2 linked regions of the Diceros bicornis minor genome follow. The protein of the gene in region 1 interacts with the protein of each later gene in a biochemical or structural test. Links are inferred from orthologs where the notes say so. Each region holds a gene or a part of one and is shown on either strand. Other genes may lie near its edges. The genes, in order: TERT and CIB1.

Region 1 (14,561 bases):
GCCCCCACAACGTAGTCCATGTTCACGATTGGCCGCAGCCCACTGGGCTTGGGGACGAAGCGGAGTCTGGACATCAGCAGAGCGGGTCTGGCTTCCTGATGTCGCCTGACCTCCGCTTCCGACAGTTCTCGAAGCTGCACCCTCTCGAAGTGTTGTCTGAAACAGAGGGCCTCATGGGACACCGCCCCGGGAGAACCAGGGCGGGCAGGCTGGTGAGGACACCAGTGCCCGTGAAGTCGGCAAAGCCCGGACACCCACACCCAGGACGCTGTGGCCACGCCAACACACGGACCAGACGCCGCTGGAGCATCCTCCATGGCAGGTGCCCAGGACCTCCAGTTCCCTCAGGTAGAGAGCCTTGGGTAGTGCAGGCTGGGGCTGGACGGACCCCTGGGCAGCAGGACCCCACATTCCTCCACATGGAACGAGCAGGGGCTCTTGGTGCAGCCGCAGCCAAGAAACAGAATCATCTCCCCGTGGACCCGCCAGCTCCCTCTTGGCCTTCCCCCAAAACTACCCACAGGGAGGGGCTGGGTGCCCCCACCTCCTGCCTGCCAGGGCCGAGGATGCTCCCCGGGCTGGTGGCCCTGGCAAAGAAGGGCTCTGAGAGTACAGCCCCTCACGGGACGTGGATACCCACCAGACAGAGCAAAGGTTTCCACGGTCCCTACAAGGAGTGTCTGCATGGCCACGTTGGATCATGTGCCATGAAATACTTAAATTATTAAATAGAGTGCCCTGAGTACTACCTCAGACCCACGATAAAGGCCTCAGACCCTCTCCCAGACGCAGGACCCGGGGTCCCAGCACCACCTGGCTCAGAGTCCCCCTCCCTGTGCAGGGGTCCTGACTCGGGCGTGCCGTGGAGCCTGGGAGCCCCGACCTCGCGCCTTCGGGGTCCTCGCCAAGCCCTCTGAGGACACTGGGCACCATGGCTGGGCTGGCTGCAGAAGGGCAGGCCTTATCTTTCAGGCTATCACATCCCTAACCCAATCCAGCTTATATCCGCTACAATCCTTCAAAATAAACCTAAAACAGCTGCTGAGCAACTGAGACAAATCCATGCGGAGGCCACAGAACCTCGAAGTCACCGCCTCAGGGTCTGTTTCACAGTGGACGCCTCTGTCCTGACACTTGCCGCAGAAACAGGACACAAGCGCTGTTTATGCTGTATGAATTCAACAGGATCCGACCCACACACCAGGACGAGGAGGAGGTTTGCCAGCACTGCTGTTTCCACTCAGTACTAACTTCTTCCACTTTCGAGACCCCAGAGGTGAGGAAAGGGGGCTTCAGGAGTCTGTGCCCAGTGTGGGACCCTCATGCGTCAGGACCATGACGGAGTCCCCTGGCTCCCGGCCCCGAGAGCCCCACACCCCCCAGAGTAGTGGGGGTGATGGACCCATGTGGAGGGGCTGGGGAGCCGGGAGCAGGAGTCAGGGCCAGCGTCTGCGCAGACGGAGGAAACGCAGGGGTGACGCTCGGGCTGTGATACCTGATCCCAATGCTCTGCAACTGGCTCCAGACACTCTTCCGGTAGAAGAAGAGCCGGTTCTTCTGAAACGTGGTCTCTGTGACGTAGAAGAATGACCTAAGCAGCTTGACCACGTACGTGCCCAGCAGCCAGCACAGGAACTTGGCCAGGACCGCCTCTCTCAGCCGGTGCTCTGAGGCTGGGACACAGTGGGCCCCTGGAACGAGAAAGGCACGGAGCCACGTCTCACCCAAGGCCCAGCGAGCTTCGCCCGTCTACACCATCCTCAAGGCAGCCACGGCCGCTGGAAACGGGGCAGGTCCCACTGAGCTATGCAGTCCTCGCAGCCCACACGCCGGCTCTCAGAGACCGGGTAGTGGGAGAATACGGAGCATCTTGTTAACGGTGCTTCTCCTGCCCATGTGTTCCAGTGGCAACAGTTTGGACATACTGGGCTTTAAGGAAACACATTTTTAAGTTGGTTTCACCTTTTCCTTTTTTACGCTGATCTGTACGATTTCAGGCATCGTCACCAAGCAGCAAGATCCAGAAATGCCTGGGGTTTTCCAGGCTGACCAACCCAGGTGAGCAGAGCTGCTCACACACTAGTTAAGGGATACCACATGCCACGGGGGCTCCGACATGCACCACAGGCTGGGATGTCTGCCTTCCTTTGCAGTGCTCTGATTTTATTCTATGCACGTAGAGATGTCATGAGAAGAGGGCCACAGGTGTCACCAGGCTGCCACAGGGGCCACGGCACACGTGGAGCCTGGGCTTTACCACCAAGAACCGACATGAAGCACTGTGTAAAGGAGAAGAAAGGGGATCCAGAGGCAGGCGTGAGACAGAAGACAGAATGGTGAATGAAGGAAGAGAAAGAGGGGGTACAGGCAGCAAACCCTGATCACAGGACGCGGAACAACGGTGTCTGAGGTGGACACAGAGAAGTCAGCGGGAGGAGCAGGAGTGGTGAGATCAGACTGACACACGCTGAGGCCCGGGCTGCTCGGGAGAAGGTAACCAGTGAGAGAGGGAGACAGAACAGGTAATTTCTAACTGCCAGGAGGGAAAACCAGAATGAGAACACATGGCGAGAGAGAGCACACAATCATCAGGAAATGAGGAATAAGGACACGGAAAAAGCAGACAAACTGGAAACAGAGAGAAAAGAGAAGCATCCAGACACATCTGTAATCACAAAAAAATGGAAAGAAATCGGATTCTCCAGGTCAGCGGCAAAGATGTCAGATTGGATTGAAAAAACATTTAAAATGTCAGCTGCATGCTATTAATAAGACATACCTAAAAAATGGTTGAAAATAAAAATTAGACAACAAAAAAAGATATGAGAAGCAAGCAGTGACTAAAAGGAAGCCAGTGCTGCAGCTCTGCCAACAGTGAAAATGGACTTTAATAAAATGCACGCCTAGACATTCACCAGGAAGATAAAAATCCTAAAACATGCAGGCGCCTAATAAAACCCAATGTAAACACCGTGAGAACAAGAAGAAATGGACAAACCCACCCCGAGTGAGACTGCACACCCTCTCGGTGTTCCGGCACCTTAATAAGCTGGATGTGGTGAACACAGCAACCAGCCACAGGCCTCTAAATACACAAGGAACGTAAACAAGTCTCCACAGCTTCAAATAACTGGGATCATACAGACCACTACACAACTGAGCTGGAAATCCATAACAAAAAGATAATTTAAAATACTCATCCATTTGCACAATAAAAAACACACATCTAAATAACTCGTGATCAAAGAAGAAATCACAGAAGCTAGAAAACACTTAAAACCAATTGATATCAAAATGTGCAGTGACACAGCCCAATGTGGGGTGCAGCTAAAGCAGCACTGAGAGGGAAACACATAGCCAAATGCTCACCGGAGAAGTTAGAAGTGGGATGACTGAGTGACCCTGAAGAAAGAGAGGGAAGGATGTCACCCCAGAAAGAACTTCACCCCCAGAGAGAACTTAGCCAAGTTCAAACAAAGATCCATGAGAGGCCCGACAAGGCCCCCTGGACATGGGGGCTCCACTCTGAAGGTCAAGGGGGCCTCAGCAGGAGGGATACACCCTGACCACAGTTTAGGGAGAGTGATCGTGTGGTCAGATGTCAGTTGATGGGACAGGGCCAGTGGAGGCAGAGCGCAGCCTGATCTGCGCCCAGGCTAAGAGAGCAAAGGTTGCCACCAGCCCAATGAGGGGCCCAGGGGAGAGGCAGTGAGCAAGGGGCCAAGGCACCTCCGAGTTGCCATCAGGAATCCTTTTTTCAACATCTCTAGCAACACTTGACAGCAGATGTGGACTCCCCAGAAGTCTGGCCTCCAGCGCTGGGGACCAGAGAGCCGAGGGGAGTCAGTGGGCAGCAAGCAGACAGGACAATGGTCAAGGCTGGCTTGACAGAGGCAAATGAGCCCAGGGGGGCTGATGGAGTGCCTGGCAGGGCAGACGACCTGCACAGAGGAAGGGGCGTCCCAGCAGGAAAGGACGGAAGAGGTGACCAGGAAAGGGGGCTCAGAGGCCAACGCCATACTGTGCATCATTTATTCAGACAGTAGGCAACCGCGGGGCCACAGCCACGGAAAGGGGCACACGCCTGGGCACAGCTCAAGCCAGCGAGGATGCCGGGTGGTCCAGGGGCTGGGTCCCAGCTGCCTGGGAAACAACACCTCCTCGTGCCCACAGGACACAGGGGCACGGCAGACCTCATCTGAAATCGGGGAGCCAAATTACAGAACCCAGACTCTCCTTTCAAAGCAAACTGGAGCCCCAAGGGCACAAACGAGTCATGTGACAACACATTTGAGCATGACGCCTTCCCAGCTCATCCACGCTGTCACATGTGGCAGGGACTGCTGGCCAACAGGCGCCAAGTCACGCAAGATGAGAACACCAGAGAGACCAGCAGTACGACGCCGCGCTTACACTCAGCAATACCGTTCCGTACCCTTAAACATCTGTTAGGAGGGCAGACCTCATGTGTTTTTCCCCCCCACAATTAACAAAAAAACCTTAAAAAACCCAGTTGCTGGAAGGTCACCTCGTCCGCATCACCTGGCCGCAGAGCCTCTTGGGGAGCCAGAAAGGGTGTGCCCCGCACCCCCCAACGGAGGCCATGGCAATCGAGATCTTTGGGGATGGGCGGGGCATATTTAAAGTCCCCACCCCAGGAGACTGTAACGTGCAGCCCATGGGCAGACGTGGCTCTGACGAAGGCTCTGCCATTCTTTCTTCTAGGAGTCCTGGGTGTTGTGGGAGTTTGGGGGGGGGTCAAGCCGAAAACACTGGGGCCCATGCTGGCCGCTGCTGCACCATCAGGGAGAGGAGGGTGGTGGCTGGTCCTGTCCACTCGTGGTGTTGGTGTGCCCACCAGGAAGGCACTGGGAGAGAGGGGGCTGAGTGGTGGCTGGACCAGAGGAACCTCAACATCAAACCGAGAAAATCAAAGCCGGAGGGACACTGCAGCCCCAGCTGCAGCCCCGCCAGCACCCTTGGTGGTGGCCACTTCCCTGAAACAGGAGAGCCCTGCCGCTCCCGTCGCCCTGGTGACCCTTTCCTTCCTAAAGATGGGACTGGGTCCTTGTTCAGGAGACAGTTCTTCTACCCTCCTCTGTCTGCCCTGCCCAGGCACAGCAGACACACATCAAAACTTAAATTCAGATCTGTACGCTGGCTGAGCAGGCGTGGCTGAGCAGGCGTGGCTGAGCAGGTGTGTCCAGGAAACTCAGGAGGCTTATCTCCCAGCTCCCATTTCTATCAGTGGGGCACCATTTCAAGGTGATAAACCCTGATGTCAAAAAAGGGATCCTGAATAACCCGTCGGCCCGCTGAGGAGAACTTCGGACACTTCTGTCTGCTGCCAGAGCCCTACTCCACGTGTGTCCCATCTGCTGTCTGCCAGAACCTGCCTGAGTCCATGAGGGTCTCGTAGGTTTATACGTGGGTCTTACAGTTTTATGAAAACTAGATGGGAGAGGGGATCAGAGGCAGAGAAATCAGATGAGCCACCCGACAGCCACAGGTGGGGTTACCCGCGTAGGGAGGGGCTCTGCTGCGTTCCGGGTGGGGGCCTGATGCTGCAGGGCCGCCGCCTCCTCCCCGGGCTCCTCACCTGGGCTCCGCAGCCAGGCGCAGTCCTGCACTTTCATCTTCCAGGTCAGCTCCTGCGAGGAGAGCTTGGCGTGCTTCCCCAGAGAGACGAACTTCTTCACGTTCCTCAAGAAGCGGCGCTCGTTGTGCCTGGATCCCCAGAGGCCAGCAGGCACCAGCCGGCACAGACAGGCCCGCAGGAACGCGTACACCTGCCAGGGGCTGCTGTGCTGGCGGAGCAGCTGGACAAGGCGCCGCGGGCCTGCGTCCTCCTCCGGGGCCGCCGCTGGCCTCTCCCGGGCGCTGACGCCCACTCCACCGCACCCCTGGTCAGCGGACCCTGCTGGGGTGGCCACGCCCCGCAGCGGACAGTGCGTCCTGAGGAGCGCGCCATAGGGGCACCGCGCATGGTTCCCAAGCAGCTCCCGGAACAGGGGCCTCATCCGCCAGTAACGCGCGGGCAGGCGGCGCGTCCTGCGGGAAGGCCCTGGCCGCCCGGGCTTCGAGCCCAGAAAGATGGTCTCTACGAGTCTCCGGGCCCCTGCCAGGCTGGGCTGCATGCAGCTGGGCAGGAAGGAAGGGAGCAGCCGTTCCTTGCCGCCAGAGCAGTAGAGGAAGTGCTTGGTCTCGACATACACTCGGGGATCGTGTGCGCCCCGGGGCCGCGGTGACCGCCGCGTGGGTGGGGAGCCGGCCTCGCGCTCTCGGTGCAGAGGGGGGACGGGGAGACGGGTCCTCGGCGGTTCGCCCTCCCAAGACGCGGCTTCCACGGCGGTTTCTCTAGGTGTCACCACGTGGGGATCGGTGTCATTTGGCCCACGTGCCCTGCCCAGGTGCGCCCGGGACACCTGCCCGACGGGCCCCTGCTCCGGCTCCCCAGCTAGGCCACGCCTGGGCCTCTTGGCTGGAGGTGGACTTCCCCCAGAGCTGACCCGACGCCGCCTCCCGCTCCGGGCTGGTGGCCCTGGGGGTCCCCTGGCCCCCACGTCGCCGCCGTTCCAGGTCTGGCGCGTGGGTCGGAGGCCCGTCCGGCTCTCGCCCGCGTGTGGCGTGGGCCGGCGGCAGGGAGACGAGGCAGGCCGAGCCGCGGCGGTGGTGCAGAGATCGTAGAGCGGCGGCCCGCACACCTGGTAGGCGCAGCTCGGGGCCACCAGCAGGTAGAGTGAGCAGCGTGCCAGCAGGTGGGTAAGCACGTCGTCGCCCACGCGGCGCAGCAGCAGCCCCCATGCGCCGCTGCTGCGCAGCGTCTCGGTCACCGTGTTGGGCAGGTAGTTGCGCACGTTGGTCGTGAAGGCCACGGGCGGCCCGCCGCGGGCCCCGTCCAGCAGCGCGAAGCCGAAGGCCAGCACGTTCCGCGCACCGCGCTCGCAGAGCCTCTGCACGACCCTGGCCACCAGCTCCTTCAGGCAGGACACCTGCGGGAGGGGGGGCTCTGACTCGCCGGGGACAAAGGTGACCGGGAACCCGGGGCGCACAGCCCGCGTCCTGCCGTGTTCCTCACGGCCCTCCCTCCCCAACTCCTGCACGCCCGACCCAGGTCCCCGGGGACAGCCCACCTGGCGGAAGGACGGGGCGGCGGGGGGCGGCTGCGAGTCCCAGGGCACGCACACCAGGCACTGGGCCACCAGCGCGCGGAAGGCCTCCGGGTCCCCGCGCCGCACGAGCCGCCGGCCCTCGGGCCCCAGGCGCCGCATGAAGGTCGCTAGTGGCAGCACCTCGCGGTAGCGGCCCCGCAGCAGGGCGCGTACGGCCCGGCACCTGGGCGCGCGCGGCATCGCAGGCGAGGGCGGGGGCCGGGGCTCCACGTGCGCAGACACGCGGCTGCAGCGCGAGCTGCATCCACCTGAGCACGGCGCGGCAGAGGGAGGGTCGGGGCGGGGGCGGGTCCGCACGGAGGAAGGGGCGGGGCCCGGCGGGGGCCGCGCGGAGGGGCGGGGCTGGAGGGAGGAAGGGGCCGGGTCGCCCAGCGCCCGGGGGCGGGGTCTGGCCGGGCCCGAGGGGCGGGGTCGCGGGAGGCAGGTGCTCGGCCTTTGCCCTCCCTGCGGCCCGCGGATTCCCGCGTCCAGGTGTCATCGAGGACCCGGCGTGCCCCCACCGCCCAGCTGCACCCTGGCAGCCCCCTCACCCATCCCAGGGTGCAGGGGTCGCAGCAAGGGTCTCACGGCGGAGAGGCTCTGGGGGTTACCCGAGAGAGGGGACCATAACGTGGGTCCCTGAGGGACCTGGTGCGCTCTGCGCCCCCTGGGGAGAGGGTCCTTCTGGGTTGTCACTTTCTCACGTGGGCCGTGACCCTGGCACAGAGGGCTGCTCTGGGGTCCTGCAGAAGGGGTTTGGAAGGAGCAAGACAGCGAACGTGTCATGAGGTGCGTTGGAAAGGAGAAAATGGACACCGCTGCTCCCGCCTGGCGGGGTTGGGGGAAACTGAGGGCAAAGGCGCATCCTCGACGGGCATGAGGTGGTGCTCCCGGAGCTCTTCCCGCCGTGGGCAGTGGTCAGCGGTCAATGGTCAGCGTGCAGTGGGCAGGCCTTGCCACGTGGTCAGTGGGCAGCAGTCAGCTGGCAGTGGTCAGCGGTCAGTGCAGTACTTCCCCTGACGACTTGGTCTCCTTGATCCCGGGCTGTAGTTTCTCTTTCCGGGTTCTTAGGCTTCTGTTGTGGTCCCAACCATACACAAAAACCCCAAATCAGTTCCCTAATAATCAATGATCATGAGGTCATCCACCAAAGGAAGGAGAGAAAATGGAGCCGCAGGCTCCCAATGTGGTGTCACCTGCCCATGGCTGCCTTCATCCCCGAGCCCCCAGAACCACCTGCCCTCCCACACACTGGGAGGAAGAGGAGACTGGACAGGTCAAGGGATCCGCCTACAGCCTTGCAGTGCCCCAGAGAGAGCCAGAAGCCCCCGCCTTGCAGCCAAGGGGTGGAGACCCTCCCCACGAGTCGCCCCTCCCCAGACCCAGGAGGGCAGTTTTGACAATGGCTCGTCACATGAACAGGACAGCTTAGAGGAGTCACCATAATGAGATTCCACCCGAACCCAGACACTGTGGGATGTTCACGTGTGCGTCGCTAAGAAATGGGGAAACTTCTGGGTCTCCAGAGGCCCGTGGCAAACAGTGAACAGGCTGAACAAATGTTAATCTTTCACGAGGTAAGAAACCCAGTCAGGAAATTGTATTCAAGGCTGTGGCATTTAAACAAGCCTCCACTCTCTTCCCTGGACAGACGGCGTCTCATATTTGTCTGCTGGATCAGGGTCTGCCAGGGCTCATGCGACTTGGGATCGGGGCTGTTGTTCTAGACAGAAGTGTGTCTAGTGGGCACGGTCAAGGCCCAAGGCTGCGTTTGAGAACTGCTCATTCTGCCACTGGAGGATTTGGGCTGCTTCCGGGAAATTTGCTCTTTTCCAACAACAGTACGCTGGTTCACCTGGAGAAACCAGCATGGAAAACATAATTAAAAAAAAAAAGAATAGAGGAAACCGAGGCAGAAAACCATGCTAGCGTGATGAACAGTGTGTCAGTATACAGCTCAGATGGAAATCGTCGCCCTCTGGAATGCTCCCTCCAGTGTCCTGTGCACGGTTTCTCTCTGCGAGAAACTGGTCACGGTCTTAAATCACTGTGTCTTCAGACATGAAAAACGTACCAAGAAAAAATGTATGTTGTTGGCTTACGAGAAATACAACAGCGAAATCCCGTTCTAGGACTTCCAGAAGGGGACGTGGGCGTCACACTTCACACCTGCTGCTTCCTGATGCATCATCGGTCACTGAAGGAGTGGGAGGAGCCCCCTGCGTGAGTGAGGGGCTCACTAAGGAACTAGGGGGACCGACATGAAGAGATTTTCAACAGTGTGCCCAGTACCTGGACATTGGGGGTCCCCTGCAGAGACAGTCAGGGAGCCCCCGCTGGACTGCGGGCTGCCCCTTTCTGGTTGCTCCAAGAACCTGTAGAGACACCAACAGGCCACTGGTCCCTGGTCTGCAGATCACAGAGAAACCCACAGAGGCTGAGCCCCGAGCATGGGGAGGAAATAGAATCCGTCACCTCCAGGCTGTGCGGTGACGAGCACAGGGTCACGTCTGAGTAAGTGGTCGGCGTTGGTCCGTGCATGGGCTCAGTGTTCATGGGGCACCACGTGGCTCCTGGGTCACAGTGACTGGACTGAGGGCTCGGGGGCTGGGGTGGCAGGAGAGCCGGCTCTGGAGGGCAGCACGGGGAGGGTAGTGACTGCCATGCACTGCCCCACACCCACCCGATGGCACGCCTGGGGCACCTCGCACACCCCGCCTGGCACCCTCTTGGCAGTGTCCTGGGGGAGCACGTGGCTTGTGTCTCAGACCTGCCGCTGGGGGAGGAGCCAAGACGTGGGACAGCAGAATCGGGATCCAGACAGGTCTCAGCGGCCAGAACAGACCCAGTGCCCCATCACAGGATGCACACGGGCTTCTGTCCTCATGGAAGCTGACCACAAAGGGGGTAGCATAACAAAGACTGGGGTCAACACCGTGCCCTTGCTGACAGAAAGGCAGGTGCAATCCCAAGCCCAGCACTGGGGCAGGAGGACAGGACACTGGGACAGACAGGCAGGCCCCCTGGTGCTGCCCTGACCCTCTCGCTCCCTGGTGGAGCCTTCAACGAGGCATCCTCCAAGCTCTCTGTGACCCTCTGCCTCCATCATCACATCTCCCTCTGTGACCCTGACCCTCCTGCCGCCTCTCACAAGGACCTTCAGATTGATGTAGGGCCATCCGGATGATCCAGGGCCATGCCCCCACCTCAAAATCCTTAACGTACTCCCATCTGCGTAGTCCTGTGCCAGGTGAGGTCACACGGGTGCCAGGACTAGGATGTGCCATCTTTGGGGCATCAGTCTGCCCATGACACAGCGTGGCAGAGACAGTACAGCTGCTGAGAGGGCCCAGTTCTGCCTTGGGCCCCCCAGCACCCCAGTGGTTAACCCCCCGTAACTCACTAACCTGGGCGCGTGGTGAGTGTGTACAGGTCGACGTCATCTTATCTCCTGTGTAGATTTGTGTGACCAGCACCACCACCAAGATGCGGACTGTCCCACCACCTCCAGGATTGCCCCTGCTGCACTCACAGCCCTCCCGGCCTCCCTGACCCCTGGTGACCACCAGCCTGCTCTGGGGTGAAACTGTGTCATTTCAAGAAGGCTGTATAAATGGCATTGTGTCACGTGAGCTTCCAAGATTGGCTTTCTCTCTCCGTGTAGCTGTGGTGTGTCGATGGTCCACCTCCCTCATGTCTCGGAGCAGCCTTCATTCCGAGGTGTGGGTGTGCACGGTTAATTTAACCGTTCGCCTGTTGAGGGACATTTAGTTTTCCCGCCTTTCAAGCTATTACACATAGAGCTGCTATGAACCTTTGTAGACGGGATTTTGTACATAATTACATACATTTTCATTACTCCGGGGTACATGCCCAGGAGTGCAATTGCTGGGTCGTATTGTTTAGTGTTTATGGAAACCACCACACTGTTTTCCAGAGGGGCTGTGCCATTCTGCATTCCCACCAGCCACGTGTGTGAACTCCCATTCCTCTGTCCTTGCCAGCACTGGTGGTGTCACGATTTTTCACTGTAGCCTCTCTGTGGGGTGTAGTGCCTCTCACGTGGTCCTGAGGGGCCCCGACAATGCAGACTGTGGGAGGGGTCCTGGGGGGGGTGGCAGGGCGCTGACTGAGCCAGAGCGCCAGGCCAAGACACCAGGACCTGCGCTTGGGGCTCGAGGCTGGTTCTGGCTCAGAGGATGTTGGCCTAGGAGAAAGACAACCTAAGAAGCACTGTTGTTGCAACCAGGCGTGGGGTGAGAGGCGAGAGAAAGCCATGAGGCAGGTTTATGGACCTGGGTGTAGGAAGTGTTTTCTGGAGAAGCAGAGAGGGGCAGAGGGGCCTGACCTCCGTGTGGGCCCGAGGGAGAGCCAAGGGGTTCATTGGGAGGCGGATGGAGCAGACGACACGGAGCCCCGTCCCTGGTAGCATGGACCCCCACGTAGGGGGGGCTGCCCTACGGAACCTCGGAGTCTGTCCTCTGTCTCCCAGGTTCCCTGAATCTAGGGAACCCAATGCTCCGCTGCTGTTATGACCCCATCCTGGGGGCTCAGAGCACCCCCGTTTTATTTTCTCCCCAGGTTCTTCACTCAGGAGTCCGGGCAGGTCCCGGGAGCACAGTGAAGCAGAGATTGTTTCTGCCTCTGCTTTGCGTGGTTTGTCTTACCTGCAGGGGTTCCTGGAACACTCCTTTAAGTCTTAGTGGAAGAGATAAATAACTAGGAATAATGGCCTTCGCTTGTATAGAGCTTTACGACTCACGGAGATTTCGTGCCCACGAGCTCCTTGTCTCTGAGCAGCCCCGGGAAGCAGGTGGACGGTGCCATCGTCCTTTCTCACAGGCTCGGAGCGGGTGGTTCCTGAAAATCCCGATCGTTTGGGGCAGAGCTGGGACTGTGGAGTCCAAGGCCAGTGTACCCCCACACACCCACTGGTTGGGGAGACACAGCACAGCCAGGAGAAAGGCAGCGAGTTGGGGGGGCCTCTGGGGACATGGCTTGCCTGGGCGTCAGAGTCCTGGGTTGACGCCAAGCTCTGCTGCCAGAGCCTCGCTGGGTCTGGCAGTGCCCAGGGAAAACAGCCATGTTTCCCCACTGTCTTGGCAGACGAGGCGTTTACCTTCTGCCCTTGGCAGCTCTGCCCCATTAATCCGTCCTGATCTATTTCCAGGTCTCTGTATACTTTCTCCCGCACCTTAAATCACCTTATGAAAACCAATAAAATGTGCTCAAGGCTAAAAATCCCTTTGCACGCGATCCTCAGTCCCTGCACCTTGGCAAACACAGCTTGGTCCCGGTTGCACGCCTGTGGGTTTCTGCACTCTTGAAAGTCATTTGATGAAATTTAAGAAAGCAGTAAGATAAAATGATCCACTGGGATGTGGAAAGGTAGAATTTACTGACAGAATTAAGTCCTTTCATCACTCCCTTTGTGAACACCCACTCCCGGCCCAGACCATCCTAGTTCCCCAGCTCAGGGCACAGGGTCAGTGCCGCCTCCATGAAGCCCTTCAGGAGGGGGCCTCACTGGGGTCCGAGAAACTCAGGGCTGGGCAAATCAGTGCCCTGGGCGGCTCTGTTCCCATCAGAAGAGCAGGGAGATGGGGAGAGAAAAGAGGGAATGACCATGGAGCCGGGTTTCTGAGTTTTCCTGAGCAGAGGGCTTCAGCAGTTCCGCAAAAGGAGGGACTGAACTCGACCTTCCTTACAGATACAGCTCGGTCACTGCCTAAGATAAAGGAAAGATGAAGCCACCATCCCAGGGGCCATCCTGATTCCTCTCTGGCACGTGCACATGTAGCCATTGTCATCTCTGGCATTGTTGCAACAGGCTTCCAGCTCCTTCATTCTTGCCAGCTGCAGTCTGCAGGGAGCATCCGGAATGATCTTTGAAAAGCACAAGTAAGAGCGTGTCACATCTTGCTAATACCCACTAATGCCTCCTCACTGCTGCTTAGAATGAAGTCCAGACTTTTTACTCTGGCTTTCAGAAATCCGCATCGCCTGGTCTCTCCTCCCCTAGTCCTGTGGAGCGGGGCCCTTGAGAGATCTCAGGGCACCTCACGTCCACAGAGCCAGGTTCCTGGGATAGGACCAAGCGCTAATTCTCCCTGGAAGGGACCATCAACATTCTAGGTCTCAGGGCTCCTAGAGATTAAGTTTAATCACATATGAACACACAATCAGAAACCTCCAAACACACAAGAGAACAAAGCACCATGACGGGAGAGGGCAGAAATAAAAAACAAAACACAACAGAATCAGACGCAGAGTCTGTAGCTACTGAAGGAGATTCATAGCACAGCACAAATTTGTTTTGTAAATCTAAGAACAAAGAGTGGGAAGGTAAGGTAGGGCAAGGGGCAAGACTATTAAAAGACCAGGAGGATTCAGAGTCAAGTGGAACGTCTACGATTATACATATGTGGCTGAATAATGATGATAAAAATCCTGTAAGATGAAGTACCACAGTAGAGAACATTGGCAATATGGAAAACGGTCTAGCTGAAAACACTACAGACTTCAGCATAGGGAGACAGAAGACTGGAAACGGGAAGAGATTAAGAGAGAAGAATGGAGCAGATCGCAGGAGAGAGGGGGCAAAGTGTGGAAGAGGCACTGTTTGAGGGAAAATGGTGACGTTTTCTATTGTTGATGGAGGACACAAAGACACCACTGACATAAGTGTGTTACACACCAAAGAACGAGAGAAGGGGCTGCACAACTGTCAAAAAGAACAGCTTAAATTCAGACGGGAGAAGACAGACCACTCCCCACAGAATGACCGCCAGCGGTGGTGACACAGGAAGAGGCCCGCAGGGACCCCGAGGAAGCCACCGTCTTGTGAGTGACACCCTCTAGAACGCAGGTGAAATAAAGATGCTTTGTCTGGATAAACCTGGACGGATCTTACCGGCAGCCCAATTCTGAAGAGTGTACTTCAGGAAAGAAGGTCTGTGACCTGAGAAACCCGAGTGAGGAAATGGAGGCTCATTTGTAAGATACAAGGAAGATTTCCCGTGAGGTTCAAAAAAGAAAGATGCCAAAATGCCCACAACGGCAGAGAAGCTTGAGGGCTGCTCAGGTGCGAGTCCTGAAGTTGCTGTCTGCACTGTTCCTTTCTGGCTGTGTCTGTCTGCCATGCTGGCCTCGTGGGGTGCGTGGGGAAGCACCCCGTCCTCTTCAGTCTTCTGGAAGAGTCTGTGTAGCCCTGGTGTCATTTCTTCCCTAGATATTAGGTGGATCTACCCTGAAGCCCTCTGGTCCTGGGTTTTCTTTGTGGTAAGGTCTAACCACAAATGCAAGTTTTTACATGGATAGAGGGCTCTTCAGGTCACCTAGTTCTTCTCACACGAGCTTCTGTAGTTTGTGTCTCTCAAGGAATTTGTCCATTTTGTCTTAATTGTTGAC
Region 2 (14,823 bases), on another chromosome or scaffold:
TAGAGATAAGGGGACCAGCCCGGTGGCGCAGCAGTTAAGTGTGTGTGCTCCGCTTCGGCGGCCCGGGGTTCGCAGGTTCAGGTCTCGGGCATGCACGACGCACCGCTTGTCAAACCATGCTGTGGCAGCGTCCCATATAAAGTAGAGGAAGATGGGCAAGGATGTTAGCCTGGGGCCAATCTTCCTCAGCAAAAAAAGAGGAGGATTGGCATTGGATGTTAGTTCAGGGCTGGTCTTCCTCACAAAAAAAAAAAAGAAAAGAAAATAGAGATAAGCACAAACAAAATAAAAACTATCCCCAATCCTACCACTTAGAGAGAATCTCTGAGATTTTGATATATGTATATCATCCCAGATTTTTCTAAATATGTGTAAAATAAATATTCACATATTTTAAGTAAAAATGAGATCTGTCCCATTTGTAATGTCCTTGCTTCACATAGAGGGACCCCTGGTGCTAGTTTTATATTTCAAAAAAGCACATATGAGTACACATATGTACACCTGGAGGGACACACTCCAAATTCTACCTGTGACGGTCGCTAGATGGTTGATTGTGTGTGATTTCTGTAGTGTCTTTAGCCTTTGTCTTGGTTGAGATTTTCAGGTTTTCTGAGTGTATCAAGAATTACTTTTCTTCCTTATTATGTTTTATTAAACAAGTCAGTGCATGTGCATTGCTTTAAAAGAGACGGATACGTACATATAGATCCAGCTGTCCTTCCAGACTTTTTAAAGGCTCATACTGCTTTTGTAATCAGGGAAGTATTATAGTAACTTTTATTGAAGTAAATACTGTGTAGAAAGAGACGCTGGCTCAAACCCTGTGAGGGTGGGGAATCAGCCTGGGGAAACTCTGCTTCTTACCCTGCTTCAGGCCTGGTGTCCCTGAGCCCCAGACCCCTCCCCAGGAAGCCCTGTGTCTGCAGGACTGCATGAGGGCCTGTGCTGTGCTGAGAGTGGGGGGATACGGGCTCACGGGGGGTTCCTGGCCTATCTCACATTCTCTTTGGTCCTCAGGCCATGGATCCAGGACATCGAGGGGGCTAACGCCAGGGACCTCTGCAACACCTCCTCGGCCAGGCCCCGGTCTTCTGCACCAGCAGGTAAGGTGCCCCATCAAAGATGGAGGCGAGGTGGGAGCCAAGTCTGCTTGGAAGGTTCCTGCAGGCACTGGTGGGTGTAAATGCCTTTCCTCACATCTTCATCCCTCCAGCCCTACAAGCAGGACCCTGGGAAGTGAGCCTCACAGTCCCTGAAGTCCCCAGAGTTGCCTGTCATGGCATAAGGAGCACAGTCCAGAGGGAGGTGGGTGAGCCTGGGGCTGCTATGGACACCAGCCCCCCTTTACCCTGTGCCTCTTCTGCCCACAGGCGAGAAGCCATGTGAGCAAGTCCAGTTCCAGCCCAACACGGTGAACACCTTGACCTGCCCCCTTCTCTCCAACCTGGCGGCCCGGCTCTGGCTGCACAATGGGGCCCCTGTCAATGCCTCAGCCTCCCGCCGTGTGTTGCCCACTGGGGACCTGCTGCTGGTGGGCAGCCAGCAGGAGCTGGGGGTGTTCGAGTGCTGGTCGCTGGAGGAGGGCTTCCGGCAGTTAGTAACCAGCTACTGCCCAAAGGTGGTAGAGGAGGTGGCAGACCGAGGGGACCACAGTGGCAGCGTGCCTGTCATTATCAACACGTCGCGGGTGAGTGCTCCAGCCAGCGACGAGGTCAGCTGGGGTGAGGACAAGTCCTACTGGACCGAGTTCCTGGTGATGTGCACGCTGTTTGTGTTCGCCGTGGTGCTCCTAATTTTATTCTTCCTGTACCGGCACCGGGGTGGCATGAAAGTCTTCCTGAAGCAGGGGGAGTGTGCCAGTGTGCACCCCAAGACCCGCCCTGTGGTGCTGCCACCTGAGACCCGGCCACTCAACGGCATGGGCCCCCCTAGCACCCCACTTGATCACCGAGGCTATCAAGCCCTGTCAGATAGCCCCCCAGAGCCCCGGGTCTTCACTGAGTCAGAGAAGAGGCCACTCAGCATCCAGGACAGCTTCGTGGAGGTGTCCCCGGTGTGCCCCCGGCCCCGGGTCCGCCTGGGCTCTGAGATCCGGGACTCTGTGGTATGAGAGCAGACTTCTAGAGGAGGCCACCCTGGCTTCAAGGGCCGGGAGTCCTCAGAGGGGGTCGGCTGGACCTCTGCTCCTCGTGGAACACAGCCATGGTGCCCAGCCCTTGGGATCGATGGGGCCAGCTGGCCTGCTGCTTTTCAGCCAAGTAGCGAGGTCCTCTCCAACCGAGATAGCCATGGTCCCGGAGGTCCTGGCTGAAGATGGGGGCCTGCCCAGGTGGGCAGAACAGTGCTCCTTATGTAAACTGAGCCCTTTGTTTAAAAGACAATTGAAAATGTGAATTACGAGTGAGAAGAGTGAGAGACAACACAATGCCAAGCAAACAGCCGCTCCAGTTCACGGCCCCCCAGCAAGGCCCTGCAGGGGCGTTGGAGACTCATCCAAAGTGGGTGTTTGAGACAGTTGGAAATCCCCCCCAGCTAGTCTCTTCCACCTTCTGCCTTCCCCGCAGAGCCAGGGCCAGCTCTGGCGCTGTGAGTCCTGCCTTGCTGACTGGCCAAGTTGTTACCGCCATCATCCTGTCACCTCAGGGACCAGGGAGCTACGCCAGTGCTGCAGCCCTCACCGGCCCCGGGGCTCGGACCCACCCGCTGGGCCTTTCCAGCCTATATCAGGCTGTGGCTACATGACAGAGAGGGCAGCGCATGAGCCCAGGAGAGAGTTGATGACAATTAGACCTTTCCCTCGGAACCCAAGGAAGGAACTGTTGCCTGCCTTCCTCCATCACAGCCGAGAGAACCTGTGTGTCCCTCTTCCCCACATCTACCCTAGCCTTGTCTTCAGGCCCAGTCCCCAGTTCACCCCCTACACATCACCTGCCTCCATCTAAGGGATACTGACACTGCCCAGCACAGGGGTCTTGAGTTGATGTGGGTTTTATATTTTTTAAACAAGACGCACTTTACTTTTTTTTTTTTTTTTTAATAAAATCTAAAGAATTGAAATTGAATTGTGGCCCTTCCTTTTAGAGGACTGTTGCTCTTTGAAGTTGGTCTAGTTCTCTGAGATCTGGGAGGTTCTGAGCCTCCTCTTTGAGGGGTTAGTGGGCCAGAGCCAGCCTAGCCTGGCTGACTGACTGTCTCCCCTGTGGAGCACGGTTCTTAAGGTGGTGAGTTAACGCACTATGGGGCAGGGGTGGGGGATTGTTCAGTTTACTTCAGCCCCTTTACTTTGCTTCTCTAGTTCAGTTCAGGGGTAGGGGCACAGGTGACAGGGTGGTTTGTTTTTTTTTAACTCTTCAAAAAATGTTCGTTGTGAAAATTATCACAGTAAAATTGATTTTTTTCTTATGGTATACAGTTCTATAAAGTTTAACACATGTAGGAATTCATGTAACCACCACCACCACCACCAGGATACAGAAGAGTTCTGTCCTGATGCTACCCTTCAGCTGCACATCCTCACGAGAGGGTGGGAGGGGTGGGTACAGTTTGACTTCCTGCTGGCCCTTTCTTTAGGTCCTACTTTTTCTCAATATGACCAAAGGCTGCTAGAAGTCCAGTCCTTCTTCATACCAGTGTTTGTAGTGTCACACACAGAGTCAAAACTTCTAAACCTTTATTATTGATTAGTAGAAACAAACAGTGATGACATTGGCAGTGAGAAGGGGAGAGGCCTTGACATGGAGGCCCCTCCCCTGCCCGGGGCAAGACTGTGCAGTGCCAGCTCTAGGCTGGGCCAGCTTGGCCAGCCGTGGCGACACAGGCATAACCTTGGCCACAGCTCAGGAGTGAAAAGGTTCTTCAACAGGGTGCTGGGACACATGCTGTGGCTCCTGTCACAGGACAATCTTAAAGGAGCTGACGAGAAGAGAGGGTTGGGTTTTTTGCTGGAAGAGAATAGAGACTAAACCCAAACTTACCCACCTCTCCCCTAAGACCCTTTGGAAGGGGCTGTGTCCCACACCTGGCAGTCCCCTGTAGAAGAAGAGCTACCGTGATACATTCAGAGGAAGCAGGAGGCTTTCTCTCAGACCGGGCACCACCTCCCATAATAACATCCAAGACAGAGATGCAGCAGATGGGAACCACTGTCATACCTGGCAAAGTCTGGTGAACGGGAGATGACATGCTGGAACTCAGAGAGATTGATGGTCCCATCCCTATCAATGTCAGACTCTTCCAGGATCTGGGAAAGGGAGAGCTTCAGGCCAAAGCCCCAACCTTTCCCTCCTGCTCCCTGGCCCGGCCCAGCCCCTCACATTATCAATGAGCTGCTTCATCTCTGAAGCACTGAGCCGGGTGTCCTCGCCATCTCCCGTGAGGCAGTTCACGAGCTGGCTCAGGTCTTCTCTGTTCAAGGTTCCATCATCATCAAAGTCTAAAGAGCAGACAGGAAGCCAAAAAGGATATGGTCAAGATGAGCTTCAAGGCTCCATGAATGACTCCCAGCTCCCAAGCGGTACCACTGCAAAGACCACGTGGGAAGGGGCGGTGTTCCACCAGGCTCCGCCTGGTCCTTACCAAAGATGCGGAAGGCATAGTGGGACTTGATGTCTGGGGTTGCTGTGTCACTGAACACACTGAGGAGGTCCAGGAAGTCCTCGAAACTCAGGCTGTCCCTGGTTGGGGATGTGGAGAAGACCCTGCAGATTCGCTCCTTGAAGGGGTTGGCCTAGGCAAGAGAGCATTCTGTGAACGCCACAGGACGCAGCCCAGGTCGCACACTCATCAAACCCTACCAGGAACTGGAGGGAGCAGGTCACGGTACTCGCACCATGAGCTCAGGCTCACGAGGGAGAACCTCAGTACTTTGGGGCCAGCATGGAGGGCAGAAGGACCAATGACCCAGCTGGGGATGGGACAGGATGGCTTCCTGGGAGTCGGAGTTTAACCCAAAGGCAGGCTGGGGGACAGAGAAGGAAGAGGAAGACATCCTAAGCAAAGAGAACAGGATAGGCTGGTTATTTTAAAAGACAGACATCAGGGCCAGCCCCGGGCCTTAGCAGTTACTGGCGGCCCGGGTTCGGATCCTGGGCGCGCACGGACACACCGCTTCTCCGGCCATGCTGAGGCCGCGTCCCACATACAGCAACTAGAAGGATGTGCAACTATGACACATAACTATCTACTGGGGCTTTGGGGGAAAAAAAAAGAAAGAGGAGGAGGATTGGTGATAGATGTTAGCTCAGAGCTGGTCTTCCTCAGCAAAAAGAGAAGGATTAGCACGGATGTTAGCTCAGGGCTGATCTTCCTCACAAAAAAATAAATAAATAAAACTGTTTAAAAAAATAAATAAATAAAATAAAAAAATAAAAGACAGACATCTACTTAACACTTACTGTTGGAAGTGCTAGCCCAGGCCCTTTGCATGGAAATTTTCACAGCAGCCCTATGGAAAGGCAATCTGCCTCTGGAATAGAGTTTCTCAAATTTTAACAAGGTAACTCCTCTTAAAGGACAAAACTTTGAACCTCCAAGAATATGTCCCAGAACCCCAGTTTGAAAAACACCATTCTAGATAATTCCATCAGGCGATTTTGGTAAAGCCCTTGCCCTCAGGAAATTAGGGATACACAGAGAAAAGACCAGAATGGGGAGCAATGAGTAGCAGAGGGAGGGTGGGGGGCTAGCACCTTGAGCTCTGGAAGGCTGAGGATCTGCTCCAAGGACACCCGTATCTGCAGTGACTCCTCCACAGTCCGGTGCTCCAGGGGAAGCAGCTCACAAAACCGCCTGTGGGCTCTGGCAGAAGGAGGGGAACCTGTTGGTGCGCCTTCTCGTGGGTGTTGCATCCCCACTCCTTGCCTTGCTACCCACTGCAAACCAGGTGAGGAGCTAAGCCACCTAAACAGAACTTCTGAGTCATCAGGCATGATAAGCCGAAGGGAGGGACATCACAAGACAGTACAGGCTGGGAGTCCATTCTTGCAATGGGTATGTACTGAGTGCCTGCTGTGTGTCAGGCACTGTGCTGGGCCCTCATTCCAGAGCTCCCTGAGGGGTGGAAAGTTTGGGGAAGGAGTCAGAAGTTGGCCCTGAAGAACAGGGAGAAAAGAGCAAAATCGAAATCTCCTTCTCATTTCACTCCAGGGATTTCCTGCTCCTCAAAGCCTCCCTCTTTTTAGCAGCTGCCCTGAACTATCTCCTCCTCAGCCCCCCACCTCCTTCCCACTGAGGTTATTTTTGCCAAGGGAAGCCCAGGAATCTCCTTACTCAAGTGCCCTGGCCACAAAAAGCTGGCACACGACTAGGAATAGGGTTCCAGCCTCAGTTCAAATCCTCTTACTAGGAGTGTAGTCTTAGGCAGGCGACCAAACTTCTCTGAACCTGTTTCATTGTCCCCGTACCTCTCCCATGAGAATTAAATTACGTAATGTAGGCAAACCACTTAGCACAGTTCCTGGGCAGGGTAAGTACTCAGTGAGCGTTAACGGTTACTGAATTATTCAGGTAAAGTTGGGAGGAGGAGCCAGGTTCCCCAAGGCTTCTGCGGCTTTGCCAGTAGGCGAGGTCGTCCGAGAGCCACAGCAGTTCCTGCCGGACTGGGGCGGAAGTTCGGTTTTGCAGAAGCCAGTGGAGCACAGGGTCAAAGAGCGCCTAACTTGGGCCGGAGGCTACGAAGTGGCTCCGCGGTGCAGAGCTGGAGCCCCGGGCGCGAGTGGGGAGGGCGTGCCGGGAAGAGGGCACACAGCCCAGGGCTCGGGGCCCTGGACTCCAGTTCCGGCTCAGCTGCTGACCTCAGGCAGGCCCCTGACCCTCCCTGTGGGGGGCCTCAGTTTGCCCATCTGTAAGAGCCCCCCCGAAGCCGCCTCTAGGGGGTCCTGGAGGTGAGGATCGAGACAGCACTTACAGGAGGATCTCCTGCTTCGTAAGGAACGTCAAGTCCTGGAAGGCAAACGAGAGCGGAGCTCAGCGGGCCGCCCGGAGGCCGCGCCGCCCTGCCCCCGGCTCGGGGATCCCGCTCCGGAGCGCAGGCCCGCGCGCAAGCTCCCTGGGGCCCGGCGTCCCGCGCACCTGGTACTCGGCCAGCAGGTCCTTGGACAGGCGACTGCCCGAGCCCCCCATCGCAGCGCCGCGCGCACAGCTCTGCCAACTCGCCTCGGGACGCCGGCAACTTTCTCACTTCCGCTCTCGGGCCGCGTCCCCGCCCCGTCCCCGCGGCAACCGCCCCTGGGGCCACGGCCCCGGCGCCCGCCCCCTCCTTAAAGCGCCCAGGCGCTCTCCGCCGGGCTCAGCAGGCCGGCTCCCGACTCCAGGCGGTCCCCGGCGAGCTGGAGGCGGGGCCGGGGCGGAGCCGGACGCTCCGGGGCGGAGCCCGGGCCGCACGGCCCCGCCTCCGAGGTGGGCGTGTCGGGTCGCGCCCCGTGCGTGCTTGCAGGCTGCGCATGCGTGGACGGCGCCGCGACCTCGCTATGGCCCTGGTGGGAGCTTGGGCGCGCTCGCGTGGTGAGTCCTCCTCACCTGCTGAAGGTGGCCGCGGATGCGGCGGCTTTGGGCGGGGTCCGGTAAGGGGCATCAGGGAAGTCTCTGGAATTAGGGTAACCGGGAAACTCGAGACTAACTGAGTGGCCAGAGGCGGTCGGCTGCCCCTCTGCCCGGCGAGGGCTTTTCCATCCTGGCGTTACCACCCGGCATTCGCCGCACGTGTTACAGCCCTAGTGCCGCCTCTCCAGAAGTCACCATAACCCTGCGGCCAGCTGAGGCCTTCTGCTGAGGGCCAGCTGTATGCCAAGCGCTGTGCCTAGTTATCTCCGGTTCTTACAACAGGCCTGCAAGGTCGGTTCCCATTTTACAAGTGTGGAAACGTTACAAGTGTCCAGAAGGGCTTGGTGAGTTGTCTAGGCTCGGGCATTGTGAAAGCGGTCGCTCCAGTGTGAGGCTCTTTTCGAGCCTCCCAACTGCTGTACTCCTCACTCCTGCCTGCATGCTCTCCTCTGACCCCCACCCTGCGCCCAGACTTGCGTGCTTCGGGGCGATAGGGACTGAGGCTGACCTGTTTGCTCCACCCCTACAACAATGCTTGGCACATAGGCGGCTCTCAGTAAATATTTACTGGATGCATGCATGAATGAATGAACCTACGTTATTTCAAAAGGAGAGGATTCCAAGCTGCTGAGAGGAGGAGGTGGAGGTGAGATTCTTTTTTTTGTTTTTTTTTCAGCTTCATTGAAGTATAATTGACAAAATTGTAGGGATTAGTTTTGGATTCTTCCAAGTCATTCTACTTGCTGATCTTTGTAAAGTCTAAAGCTGAGCATTTCGGTCTTAACCATTTAACCATTAAGTGGTAAAAACCCAAATTCTAGCCCCCTGTACTCTAACTCTGGCGTCTCCCTCTACTGGTTCCTCAGGCTCTCTGTTTTCAGCCACTCTGGGCTCTCAGTGCCTCTTCCGTCTTATCCTCAGGGAAGCCTTTCCCGATTCCCCAGACTAGATTGAGAATCTGTCTCACAATTGCTTCTTGACAGCATGTATCATGTTTGCACTTTATGTTTACTTGGGTGATGATTGAGTGAATGTCTGTTTCCCTCACTAGACTGGAAGCCCCATGAGCTTTGAGAATCATGATCTCCAGGACCTGCTATGTGGCAGTTGTTGAGTAAATGTTTGCTGAGTGACTAGATTTCCCAGCACTCAATAATAAAGTGATCATCCGAGAGTGACGTTAGTAAGATTCAATATATCAACATTGAGTCCCACCGTTGTGGAAATATTCCATTCCAAGAAGTGGAGGCTGCAGGGCAGTGGAAACACCAAAACCAGTCAAAGTGACTGGAGTATAGTGCTGTCCCAACATGATCATTTTTCTCTTGATAGTGGTCTCTTTCTGTCCAAGAAAAGGTTGGTCTTCAGTTGGTAAAAGGGTAGGCAAAGAGCAAGAAGCTGTTACTGTGTCTTCTGTACTAGACTGAGGAGAGGGAGCACTGGCCAGCCAAGGCAGATCCCTGGACTTCGAGGTGAGACTGTATCTCTTCACGGGAAGATGTGGGAGTCGGCCTTGTGCCGTGGTGACCAGCTGTGATCTAGATCTCCCAGCCACCTCACTTGGCTCTGAACCCTTCTTCATTGAGGATAATTTTGCTTCCTGGTAGATTTTTGTACAGAGGAGGGACTATACTGAGCAGCCAATAAGAACATTTTGTGCTGTTTGGCATGTTTCTCACTGTAAATTATTAAATAGGCATTCTGAGTCACCCAGCAGTCCCTGGCGAGTCTGGTTAGCATATTGTGCTTCTTGTGTGTGATCAACTCTTGATGCAGTGATAAAACTGAATTGCTGATAAACTTTTAAAAATAGCTTCTAGTGCTGCTTATTGTAACATTTTGTTTCTTAGGTTTTTCAAAGGCTTGTTTGTAGATCATATTTTTGGCAATGTACCAACTCTTGGATTTATGTATTCTCCTTTTTTCTTGTTTTCCAAGACATTTTTTTCCCTGCTTATAATATTGTTTCCTTCTCTCTGTTTTCCTTGGGTCATTAAATAGGGTGGCCACAGAAGATTTCTCTGAGGCAGTGACATTTGGTCTGAGACCTCAAGGACCCAGCCATGTGAAGAAAATCTGGGTAAAGGGTATTTTAGGCAGACAGAATAGTAAGTGCTGAGGCCATGAGCAGGAACAAGCTTAGTGAGAGTGAGGGAGCAGAGTAGGGAAGGGGAAGAGTGGTAGGAGATGAGGTGAGAGAGGGAGGCAGAGCTAAGCCTTGAGTGCCCAGAGGCCGTGCTAAGGAAATGAACTTTATTCTAGGGGTTCAAGGTCGCATCAATGAATGATAGAGGTAGAATTCAAACACCTTGTCAGCCTCTAAAACTAGTCTCTCACTCTTTTCCTGGGATGTTACCCACCTTACAGGCTTGTTGTCAGGGTCACCTGAGTGGACTTGGAAACCCCGCAGCCCATGCCTGGTATGAGATAGACATGCAACTAGTGTTCCCTTTCTCCTGGTTTTCCTATAAAGGTTGAATTCTGTCACATGGTCACTACTGATTTGTCACTCTAAAGTATTCCTCTTTATCCCTAGGTAATGCTTTTTGTGTACTAGTTCATTTTAATATAAATATGCCCATACCCACTTTTTATTGATTCTGTTGATTGATATGTCTTTACTCATATTTTTAGCCTTTTGGTGTCGTCTTGGTCCTGGGTCTTTGGTCCTAGCCCCTGGCTTTAAATGTTACTCCAATTTATATCTAGCCCAGACCTTACCCTTGACCTCCAAGTTTAACTATCCAACTGCCTACACCACTTCTCTTCTTGGATGCCCAGCTGCATCTCAACTCAATACGGTCATGCCCCATGATGACGTTCTGGTCAACGACGGACCACATACCTGACGGTGGTCCCGTGAGATTAGCACCATAGAGCCTAAGTGTGTACTGGGCTTTACCATCTAGGTTTGTGTAAGTACACTCTATGATGTTCACACAACGACGAAATCGCCTGATGACACATGTCTCAGAACATATGCCCATCATTCAACTACGCATGACTGTAATCAAAATTAAACCCTTGATTCCCCCCTTCCTCTAGTCAACCTCTTCCCACCCACCTTCCCAGCCTCTTCATCTCTGTAAATGCCAGTGCATTGTATCTAGTTCCTGGAGCCAAGTCGCTCCCAGTTCTTCCCTCTCCTTCAGTCCCCACAGCCAGCATGTCAGCAGACCCTTTTGGTTCAGCCTTCAAAACATGACCCACATTCCCTGCTCCTCTCTATCTCTATTGCCTACGATGCTGTCCAGTTGCCCTCATTGCTCACCTGGCTACCAGAGTGGCCTCTGAAATGGTCTCTCTCCTTCCTCTTTGCTCCCCTACAATCCATTTTCTACACAGCGGTTAGAAAAAGATATATAAAATATCAGATAGTCCTGCTTAGAACCTGCCAGTGATTTCTTATTCCATTTAGAATAAAATCCAAGCTCTTTGGGTTTTTTGTTTTTGTTTTTGTTTTTGTTAGGAGGACTAGCCCTGAGCTAACATCCATTGCCAGTCCTCCTCTTTTTGCTGAGGAAGACTGGCCCTGGGCTAACATCCGTGCCCATCCTCCTCTACTTTATATGGGACGCCACCACAGCATGGCTTAGCAAGCAGTGCATCAGTGCGCGCCCGGGATCCAAACCTGTGAACCCCGGGCCGCTGCAGCGGAGCGCACACGCTTGACCGCTACCCCACCAGGCCGGCCCCGCTCCTTGGGTTTTAAATAAATCCTTAACACAAGCATATTGTAGCTGGACTTGACTGCGTTGCACAAGGCCCTGCAGCTAACCTGGCTCCTGCCTCCTCTCCAGCCTCACCTGGGGCCCTGTTCCCCTTGTTGTCCATGCTCTGATGACACTGGCCTCCTTTCTGTTTCTCAAACAGGCCAAGTGCCTGCCTGGCTCAGGGCCTTGGACTTGCAGTTAGCTTTGTCTAGAACACACGTTCCTCAGCTCTTCACTGCAGGCTTCTTCTTACCCTTCATGTCTTAGCTCAGCTGTCATCTCAGAGAGCCCTGCCCTGCCCTCTTATTGAAGTAGGATGTCCTGATCCCACCTCTTAGTTACCCTCTATTGTATCACTAGTTTATTTCCCACAGAATGCTATAACCATGGGTGGTTAACATGTTCATTTTGGTAGTCGTCTGACTCCACCACAGGGTGTAAGTTCCATGAGGATAGGAACCTTGTTTGCCTTATTTGCCACTGTGTCTTCATTGTCTCATACGCAACAGTTACGTCATAAATACATGGGTTTTGTGGCTCAGCTGAACATGCAGCAGAGGGCACAGAAGAGTTGCTGCCAGAACATCAGGAGTGGGCCCGAGGTAGGCATTGACGCTGAATGAATGAATGAATTAATGAGAGAGTAATGAATACTGTCTTAAGTATAGCTCAGCAAATTGTTGGATTTCTCAAATCTATCATGAGACTTGCTTAAAAGAAAAAAATGTTTTTAATTGTGGTAAAATATACATAACGTAAAATTTACCATCTTGACCGTTTTTCATTGTGGTAAAAAACACATAACATAAATTTTGACATCTTAACCATTTCTAAGTGTACACTTCAGTAGTGTTAAGTATATTCACATTGTTGTGCAGCCAATCTCCGGAACTCTTTCATCATGCAAAATTGAAACTCTGTACCCATTAAACAACAAACAAGTCCTCATTCTTCACTCCCCCCAGCCTCTGGGAACCACCATTCTACTTTCTGTCTCTATGAATTGGACCACTCTAAGTACCTTATTTAAGTGGAATCATACAATATTTGTCCTTTCGTGTCTGGCTTATTTCACTTAACATACATATGTTCAAGGTTCACCCACGTTGTAGCATGTGTCAGCATTTCCTTCCTTTTTAAGGCTGAATAATATTCCTTTGTATGTATGTATCACATTTTGTTTATCCATTCATCTATTGATGGATACTTGGGTTACATCCACATTTTGGCTATTATGAATAATGCTGCTGTGAACATGAGGGTACAACTATCTCTTTGAAACCCTGCTTTCAGTTCTTTTGCATATGTACTCAGAAGTGGAATTGCTGAATCACATAGTAATTCTGTTTTTACTTTTTTGAGGAATTTTCATGTTCTCCATTGTGGCTGCATCATTTATATTCCTACCAACAGTGCACAATGGTTCCAATTTCTCTGTACAGTCATGTGTCACTTAACATGGGGATACGGTCTAAGAAATGCATCCTTAGGCGATTTTGTAGTTGTGTGAACATCATAGAGTATACTTACACAAATCTGGATGGTATAGCCTACTACACACCTAAGCTATATGGTACTAATCTTATTTTTTATTTTGTTGTGAGGAAGATCAGCCCTGAGCTGATATCCATGTCAATCCTCTTTTTTGCTGAGGAAGACCAGCCCTCAGCTAACATCTATTGCCAATCTTCCTCCTTTTTTTTTCCCTTTTTTTCCCCCAAAGCCCCAGTAGATAGTTGTATGTCGTAGTTGCACATCCTGCTAGTTGCTGTATGTGGGACACCTCCTCAGCGTGTCCAGACAAGCGGTGCATCAGTGTGTGCCCGGGATCCGAACCCGGGCGGCCAGTCTCAGAGCGCGCACTTAACCGCTAAGCCATGGGGCCGGCCCCGGTACTAATCTTATTGGACCACTGTCGTATGTGTGGTCCATCGTTGACTGAAATGTTACGTGGCACATGACTGTATCCTCACCAACCCTGTATTTTCTGGTTTTTTGATAGTAGCCATCCTGATGGCTATGAGGTGATATCTCACTGTGTTTTTGATTTGCGTTTCCCTGATGATTAGAGATGTCGAACATCTTTCATGTGCTTGTTGGCCATTTGTGTATCTTCTCTGGAGAAATGTCTGAGACTCACTTTTAATAGAATAATTTAAGACTTTGCATTTTATTGTCAAAATTATGCATAGCTTGACTTTTAAAAAACTTTTTTATTGTGGTAAAAAACTCATATAATTCATCATCTTAACTATTTCTAAGTGTGCAGTTTAGTGGTGTTAAGTCTATTCACATTGTTGTTCAACCAATCTCTAGAACTTTTTCATTTTGCAAAACTGAAACTCTATACCCATTAAACTCAACTTATGATATGTCATTTTGTATGTTTGTCATGTTTCCTTTCTGTTTTATTAATGTGAAGTTTCTGGACCAGCAGAGCTGAGGGAACGCAAATTTGGACTGAAGCGACTCTCCTGAGGTAAGCCACCTTCTGAAGTCTTATCTTGGCTAACAGTAGGACCCTCTCCCTGACACCTCTGGGTCCACAGGGCTCCAGGGGCTCAGTGGGAGATGAAGACAGGTACCGACTTCCCCCTGAAGGATTGGCCCTGGGCATGTATGCACACATTGGGCCATTCTCACCCAGATGGCTCCATGCTTGGCCATTTGGAATCACTATCAGTGGAAAAGCTATTCCCACACAGGAGTGGTCAGCTTTGAAACCCTGGCCATTCTCATACACTGAAACCCTGGTACAGTTTTCTGGAGGGCAGTTTGATAGAGTGTCCATCAAAAGCCTGAGCTATGAGCCTTCTCTGACCCAGTGGTCTACTAGGATTTTATTTTAAAGGAATATAAAAACACCTCTGCAAAGATAAATACACAGAATGTTCATCACAACATTGTGTATAATAATATGAACTTGGCAACAACTTATGTGTCCAACAGTTAAAGACTGGTTGAAAAAATCAAGATCCATCTGTACAGTCATGTGCCACATGACATTTCGCTTAACAACATATATGACGGTGCATATATGACGGTGGCTCCATAAGATTAGTACCACATAGCCTAGGTGTGTAGCAGGCTATACCATCTAGGTCTGTGTAAGTACACTCTATGATGTTCGCACAACAACAGAATTGCCTAAGGATACATTTCTCAGAATGTATTCCCGTCATTAAGCGACACATGACTGTATATGAAAATGAAGCTAAATGTAAATTGTTTATTTTCCCTGGGCATTGAAATAAGGATTGTAGTTTATTTTTTCTCCATTAAGAAAGTTTACTCAATATATATAATTTTTAGAAAGAAAAAAATTTGATATATACTTTTAATTCAGCAAAAACGTAGACTAATCTGCAGGTGACGGAATTATGAGTGATTTCCGTGTTTTCAAAATGGTTTACCAACAGCATACATTACTTTTGTAATAAGATCAAAAAGTAAAAGGTAATTGAAAATAAAAATAAAATCTCTGGAAATGGGATAGCATCGTGTGTTTTTCACCTCTATGATTGTTTCAGGTCAACCCCATGGCTATTCCATGTGATTCAAATGAAAC

Evidence for each region.
Region 2: the proteins of TERT (region 1) and CIB1 form a complex in vitro, tested with the Homo sapiens proteins (2 studies listed by BioGRID). The link is inferred for Diceros bicornis minor from reciprocal best matches to the Homo sapiens genes TERT and CIB1.

What each region holds. Positions count from the first base shown.
Region 1 is NC_080759.1:61,424,186-61,438,746, reverse strand, and holds the start of TERT (telomerase reverse transcriptase), read right to left. Parts: upstream 7,356-14,561; 5' UTR 7,353-7,355; coding exon 7,134-7,352; intron 6,993-7,133; coding exon 5,600-6,992; intron 1,692-5,599; coding exon 1,496-1,691; intron 157-1,495; coding exon 1-156. UniProt on the Homo sapiens protein: Telomerase is a ribonucleoprotein enzyme essential for the replication of chromosome termini in most eukaryotes. Active in progenitor and cancer cells. Inactive, or very low activity, in normal somatic cells.
Region 2 is NC_080744.1:93,848,613-93,863,435, forward strand, and holds CIB1 (calcium and integrin-binding protein 1), read right to left. Parts: upstream 7,188-14,823; 5' UTR 7,123-7,187; coding exon 7,072-7,122; intron 6,943-7,071; coding exon 6,908-6,942; intron 5,800-6,907; coding exon 5,691-5,799; intron 4,730-5,690; coding exon 4,579-4,729; intron 4,436-4,578; coding exon 4,317-4,435; intron 4,244-4,316; coding exon 4,155-4,243; intron 3,916-4,154; coding exon 3,894-3,915; 3' UTR 3,657-3,893; downstream 1-3,656. Other genes in the region: SEMA4B (semaphorin-4B), read left to right, coding at 1,021-1,106, 1,374-2,113; GDPGP1 (GDP-D-glucose phosphorylase 1), read left to right, coding at 14,795-14,823. UniProt on the Homo sapiens protein: Calcium-binding protein that plays a role in the regulation of numerous cellular processes, such as cell differentiation, cell division, cell proliferation, cell migration, thrombosis, angiogenesis, cardiac hypertrophy and apoptosis.